Macaca fascicularis: one gene and its partner. The protein of the gene in region 2 binds, or shares a complex with, the protein of the main gene of each other region. Links are inferred from orthologs where the notes say so. Each region holds a gene or a part of one and is shown on either strand. Other genes may lie near its edges.

What was found.
Region 1: the proteins of SAMHD1 (region 2) and DCAF1 are in contact, whole or in part, in a crystal structure (PDB 4CC9), measured with the Homo sapiens proteins. The link is inferred for Macaca fascicularis from reciprocal best matches to the Homo sapiens genes SAMHD1 and DCAF1. Residues at the interface, in NP_056289.2 of Homo sapiens: Ser616, Arg617, Val618, Gln619, Lys622; in NP_001336097.1 of Homo sapiens: Asn1090, Glu1091, Asp1092, Thr1114, Gln1116, Asn1132.

What each region holds. Positions count from the first base shown.
Region 1 is NC_088376.1:114,447,020-114,450,672, forward strand, and holds part of DCAF1 (DDB1- and CUL4-associated factor 1), read right to left. Parts: intron 3,246-3,653; coding exon 3,066-3,245; intron 2,498-3,065; coding exon 2,288-2,497; intron 557-2,287; coding exon 387-556; intron 1-386. UniProt on the Homo sapiens protein: Acts both as a substrate recognition component of E3 ubiquitin-protein ligase complexes and as an atypical serine/threonine-protein kinase, playing key roles in various processes such as cell cycle, telomerase regulation and histone modification.
Region 2 is NC_088384.1:93,014,325-93,017,977, reverse strand, and holds part of SAMHD1 (deoxynucleoside triphosphate triphosphohydrolase SAMHD1), read left to right. Parts: coding exon 1-24; intron 25-504; coding exon 505-642; intron 643-3,653.

The sequences.
Region 1 (3,653 bases), on a different chromosome or scaffold from region 2:
TTTTATATGAACATAATATAAACATTATATATGGTTGTCAAGTACTAGCAAGACACTTAAAGTCTAAGCACTGAAGAATCCTGGACTCTAGCCTCAAGACAAGACTTTAACCCCAGCTCTGCAGCTGTGGCCATGTAAATCACGTACCTTCTCTGACAGTACAGACGCTGATCCTTGCCTATTACGTAATATTTACAATCACCAAGACCATACATATGAACAAGTGTGCTGTAAATTAAAAATCATATTTTCATGCCTAATTTCTCAGTTTCAAGTCCAAAATTTCAATTCAAGAAATTTTGTTAAGCATATACCATGCACAAACCAACATCAACTTTAGTAAAAAGATGCATCAAACTTCATTTGAAATCTCTCTCTGGTCCCACCTTGCATAATAGGTCTTCCAATTGCAGGCAATAGAAATAAGCTGCAACAAGAGTTGCACACAAGAAAGTTTGAGGAAGACTTCAGCTGGTTCCCAATATAGCTGTGCTGGGCCATATTCTATCAAAAATTCCATCATTTCCACAATCTGTTCATGAGTATATGAGCATGCCTATAAGGAGAGATATACAGTATTATTATTATATATAACTCTACATCTGCCTACTACCTTCTTGAGCGCAGCTCACTGGCCAAGATATTTCATTTTACTTATTTATTTCAAGACAGGGTCTCACTTGGCCGCCCAGGCTGGAGGGCAGTGGCTTGATCATGGCTCACTGTAGCTTCAATCTCCCAGGCTCAAGCTATCCTCCTGTCTCAGCATCCCAAGTAGCTAGAACCATAGGCACATGCCACCACACCCAGCTAATTATTTTATTTTTCGTAGAGACAGGGTCTCATTTTGTTGTCCATGCTGGAGTGCAGTGGCACGATCATAGCTCACTGCAGCCCTGAACTCCTAGACTCAAGTGATCCTCCCACCTCAGCCTCCTGAAGTGCTGGAATTACAGACATGAGCCACCATGCTTGGCCAAGGTTTTAATTAAAAAGTAAATAATAATACCTTTCAAATTCCAAAATTCTTAAGTCAAAAGCCCATATGTGAAATAATGACCATATATTGATTAATCTTTTACCTTATTTATAATTAGACTCACAATATGATTTGTCCAAAAAGATAACAAGTTTCCTTTGTGCATATAAGTTATAGCTCAAGAGAAAGAAGCATCATGTGACTGATTTCTTTTCAATTTGTGACTTTTTTTTCTTAAGACTGGGTTTCACTCTGTTGCCCAGACTGGAGTGCCATAGCCTGATCACATGCAGCCTCAAACCCTCAGACTGAAGTGATTCTTCCACCGCACCCTCCAGAGTAGCTGAGGCTACTCATGCACCACCATGCCTTTTTTTTTTTTTTTTTTTTTTTTGAGACAGTCTGTGCCCAGACTGGAGTGTAGTGGTATGATCATAGCAGTCTTGAACTCCTGGGTTCAAATGATCCTCCCACCTCTGCCCCCGAAGTAGCTAGAACTATAGATGCACACCACAGGGCCCAGCCAATTTTTAAAACTTTTGTAAAGACAGGGTCTCACTATTGTTGCCCAGGCTGGTCTCAAACTACTGGCCTCAAGAAATCAGTTGGTGATTTTTTAAAAAACATGCAGCTACTCATCTATATCCCAAAACATATCAAACTCCACAATGATAGAGAAGTAGAGTTACAAACACATTTTCAGAAAAGAAATTCTGCATAGAAGGCAAATCATCTAGTACTTTTCATACAAAATAGTTCTTTGCCAGGTACAGTGGCTCACACCTATAATTCTAGCACTTTGAGAGGTCGAGGTGGGAGGCCTCTTTGAGCCCAGGAGTTCAAGACCAGCCAGGACAACATAGTTGCACCCCCAACTCTACAAAAAATTTAAAAATTAGCTGGGTGTGATGGTGTGTGCCTATAGTCCCCCAACTACTCAGGAGGTTGAGGTGGGAGGATCACCTGAGCCTGGGAGGTTAATGTTGCAATGAGCTGTGGTCACATCACTGCACTCCACCCTGGGCGACAGAGGGAGACTATCTCAAAAAGAAAAAAAGAAAGCTTTTTTATACACACTTCAGTTAATCTTTTAGTTCTAGAATCCCAGCAACTTACAACTGGAAGCAAAATAATTCCCTGAAATTCACCTATTACATCCATTTTTCAATTGGTTCTGCCTTCAAACAGGGAAGTATACTCCAACAATGGGCATAACACAGAGTCCACTGATCTGAATGTGAGTTTCAGGACTGAGATGCTACAGAGAGGGCTAACAGAACTTTCCCTTTCAAGACAAGGTCCTCTCACCTTGTACGGGGGTTGTGGGTGGACAAGAATGCCACCCTCAGTCCTCTGAAGTGACTGCTTCACTTGTTCCAATTTAATGGCCAGGTGAGCCTCAAAGTATTTGCGCAAGGCCATGCAGGTATGTTTCCCAGTTTGGCGGCTAGCAAATATTTCATCATCACTCAGAAGTGCACCCTGATCTTCCAAATTTAGAATCTCCAAAGTACTGATCTATTAAGATACAAAATATTGGGGTAAAAGAGGGGAAAAGGCAAGAGTTAAGAAAAAAGATTAAAAAATGGGAAAATATTTTAGTAAACTTTTTTTATTTTCCACACACATTCTGCTATGTATCAGTAAACTTTTATGCTTAACAATACTGACAAATATCAAACCATATTTATGTATATCTGTGTATATAACATGATAACAGTAGCTATATGAAAACAAAACATTAAACCCATACCGAAAAATGAACAAGCTTTTAATCACAGCAAAAAATATACAGGCATAAAACTATTGCTTTTAGAAAGATCAAGATCATCAACTGCCAATCCCCGTGATAAGATTACTATATCCAAGGCAAGTCTACAATGGCACAGTGTCCTCAAACTACTAAAGAAAAAGAGAAATTTGTGAAGGAAGGAAAAAAAAAAACAAAAAAAAAAACTTCACAGAAAGAATGGCAGCAAAACTCCTCTAACCAAAAGCTTCCTTTCTTCAAGGGTGTGCTGTTAAAGGGCAGCCAAGACAACCAGGACCCTTAATCCTAGTGAGAAAAGCACTGAAATAATCTCACCAAGTTCACCAGACGACGAAGACCATCATAGCGGTCAAAGAGCTCCAAGACGGCCCGAAATGAGAAGCAAATTGAAAAAAACATGGTAGCATGGCAGCATCCTGAAGCATGAGAACACTCCATTAACCACAGGGTATAGTTCACCACATCAGACAGAACATTGTGGGGATGCATGCAAACCTGCAAAAAAATACAAATAAAGCAATGCTTTTAAATTGTGGGCAAAGGAGCCTCGAACAGGATGAAAAATTCACCAGTATAGATATCTGCAGAATACAATGACCATTTCCAATCAAGTCACTCTTAGTACAAAGTTTAGGTTATAATACAAAGGCAATTTTAGAACACAATCCATTCCGAACCTGAAAACGACCTAAATTTAGATAAATATTTAAATACAACCTATACTTACTAAGTGCCAACAAATATTTACATTATTTACTGCTCACGAGGGCTCCATTATACAGGTATTAGGATTCTCACTTAAAAGAAGAGGAAGAGGTAAGGAACTTCTCCAATGTGATAAAAGTGGCTCAGATTTCTGATCCTAAGTCTAGGAGTTTGGTATTCATTCTCTGGTTAATTCAC
Region 2 (3,653 bases):
CCAATCAGGATTACGAAAAACCAGGTAACTACTTAGGCAAAACAAATATACTGTAATGGCATGTAGCAAATCTTTATGGTAAATTAGCATTTTATATGCAAATTAGGTTTTAAGGCGTATCTTTACAATTAAAGTGGGCCTGGCACAGTAGCTCATACCTGTAATCCCAGTGCTTTGGGAGGCTGAAGCGGGAGGATCACTTGAGACCGAGAGCTTAAGATCAGCCTGGCCAACAAAGCGAGACCCCATCTCTATAAAAAATAAAAAACTTAGGCATGGTAGCTAATGCCTATAGTTCCAGCTACTTAGGAGGCTGAGGTGGGAGGATTGCTTCAGCCTGGGAGGTCAAGGCCTCGGTGAGCTGTGATTGTGCCACTGCACTCCAGCCTGGATGACAGGGAGACCTTGTCTCGAAAAAAAAGAAATAGTTAGGAGCCTAGGGACCAGCTAGTATCTCCAATGTGTGAATTCAAGGTGATAGTGAAATCTCTTCATTTTAAAAAGGTTTCACGACTTCTGCCAGAGAAATTTGCAGAGCAGCTGATTCGAGTATATTGTAAGAAGATGGACAGAAAGAGTTTGTATGCCGCAAAACAACATTTTGTTCAGTGGTGCGCAGACAGAAATTTCACCAAGCCTCAGGTAGGTGGCCTGTTACTCACAAACTTTGCACAATTTTTTATTTTTAAGTAAAAACCAAAAATAATTCTATCTGCTGAAAAGTTCTCATTTAAGTTGTAGTCACTTGGTTATGGTTTTGAAAATAAGGTCTTTCACTTTCTTTCCTTTTAAAATGTCTGAATCTGTGTCAGCCAGTGATTTCTTCCTACAGGAGCTGGGAATGGATACTGTTTAGCATTATTGTCCTAATAATAAAAGATAAAAATGTGAACATGTAAATAATGCTTTCTAATGTTGTTCACCAGTGGCCCTGGAAAGTTGTTCAGTGTCTCCATCTTTCAGAGGTTACCAAAGCTGAGTAGTTAACTTGTTTAACATACAATTGATAATAGACTTCATGTTTCTAAACCTGGTTACTTCTGTGTATTAGTTAACTATTTAAATGATCAAGAATGAGAGTAGAGGGAAGAGGAGCCAAGCCACAGTTGCCAACCCTGTAGAGAATGTTGTTAAAATTGTCTCTTACTGACCTACACATAGTAGGTGTCTGCGCAGACAATGTGGCCAGTTGGCATTTATTGACTGAATGAATGAATATAATTGGCAAGCAGGGAAACAGTGCTTTACTGCCTAGTCTGGAACTCTCCCTCACACCTCCCTGTGTGTCAGGTGCTAAAGGGAACAAAGTATAGGGTGAGACATGAAAACATAGCTCAGGATGTCGGTGCTTTATCAAGTGCCACACGGCATGACCCAGGCAAGATCTCTGAGGATTCAGAGAGTTGGGAGATCTCTGGGAGAAGCCTGGTGAAGGGGCGGGATCTGCTAGATCTAGAAGGCAGGGTTTTTTGGATGAGCAGCAGGGAGAATGAAGGGTATATTTGGCAATGGGAGGAGCATAAACAAAGGCATGAAGCTGGAATGAGCTGAGAGTATTTAGGGGACCATGAGGAGACCTGTCTGTCCAGGGTAGAAAATTATTTTTTTTTAATTAATTAATTCATTCATTTTTTTGGGATGGAGTCTTGCTTTGTCACCCAGGCTGCAGTGACAACTGCACTTACTGCAACCTCTGCCTCCCGGGTTCAAGCGATTCCCCTGCCTCAGCCTCCCAAGTAGGCACGTGCCACAATGCCTGGCTAAATTTTTGAATTTTAGTAGAGACAGGGTTTCATTATGTTAGCCAGGATGGTCTCGATCTCCTGACCTTGTGATCCGCCCACCTCGGCCCCCCAAAGTGCTGGGATTACAGGTGGAAGCCGCCATGCCCAGCCAGAAAATTCTTACTGTTAAGTGTGGAGAGGTTAAATGGGAAGAGTGGACTGGATTATGGAGAACCTTGGATAATTGGCTGGGAGATTCTTTTCTCCATACAGTGGGGAAGGGATCACCGAGCACATTCAAGAGTTGCCATGCTCTGTAGGATCTGCCTGAATGTGTGTCTGCTCCAACTAGAGTGAAACCCGAGGGAATAAGAGTAGAATTGTCCCTTGGCATCTGTGGGGAACTGGCTCCAGGACCCCCACAGACCCCACAGATAGAAAAATCCACGGAAGCTCAAGTCCCTTATATAAAATGGTGTAGTGATTGCATATGACCTATGCATATCCTCTTTTATACTTTAAATATCTCTAGATTACTTATAAAACCTACTACAGTGTAAATCCTATGTAAATAGTTGTTAATACTGTATTGTTTAGGGAATCATGACAAGAAGAAACTCTGTACATGCTTAGTATAGACACAGGCATCCATTTCTCCCCCCCTCACATTTTCTATCTACAGTTGGTTGAATCTGCCCATGGATGCAGAGGGTCAGCTGTATGTCTCTCCTAGGTACTGTGAAATTAAATCACTGAAACTAAATCACTGAGAACTCTAGCTGCAGGTAGACTGGAACTTGGAGAGGCTGGAAACAGAGAGTCAAGAGAGGCTATTAAAGTTTGGCTGTGTCATGGTAACTACTATAAATTTGGTACATTTACTCACTGAGTGAGTATTTTGCCATGCCCTTGTTAGGTACCTGGAATAGTACGTAAGATAGAGAGTTCCTAATAACCCATGGATCCCATTCAGGTTGGGGATAACAATCTAGTTGGGGATAATAATAATTATTAATTTTACTCCAAAAATTAATAATTATAGGGGCATGGTAAGTACTTTGGGTGTAGGGTGAGTACACAGTCTTAGAGGAGGAAAAACAAAGAGGATTTAGCTGGTCTTAGTTGGTCAGGAAAAGCTGATTTAAAGAAGGGCTTATAAACTGAGACCTGAAGGTTGAGTGAGGAGTCGTCTGGGTTAAGGGCTGGCAGCAGGAGGTGGCGGTAGGGGAGGGGTTGAGGCATAGACACCACAGGATTAATTCAGAAGATGAGAAAGAATATGGTGTATTTCAGGAAGGAGCATAGAATGTGGAGGTGTCTGGGGCTTTATGCACAGTCCTGTCAGCCAAGAGCAGTAGGGAGCATCAGCACTGAAGGGTTTTAAGCAGGAAAGTGACATATTTGTTTACATTTATAAAATTCACTAGAATTGAAATTAGAATGAGTGGAAATAAAAAAGTTGGCTATATGCATGGTGGCTCACATCTATAATCCTAGCACTTTGGGAGGCTGAGGTGGGAGGATTGTTTGAGCCTAGGAGTCTGAGGCTGCAGTGAGCTATGATCACACCACTACACTCCAGCCTGGTTGACAGAGCAAGATGCTGTCTCAAAGAAAGAAAGAAAAGAAAGAAAAGAAAAGGAAGAAAAGGAAGAAAAGGAAGGGAAGGGGAGGGGAGGGGAGGGAAGGGAAGGGAAGGGAAGGGAAAGGAAGAAGGAAAGGAAGAAGGAAGGAAGGAAAGTGGGTAGAAATAGAGATGAGGCTGGGTGCGGGGGCTCACGCCTGTAATCCCAGCACTTTGGGAGGCCGCGGTGGGTAGATCATGAGGTCAGGAGATCGAGGCCATCCTGGCTAACATGGTGAAACCCTGTCTCTACTAAAAAATACAAATTAGCCAGGCGTGGTGGCGGGCGCCTGTAGTCCCAGCTT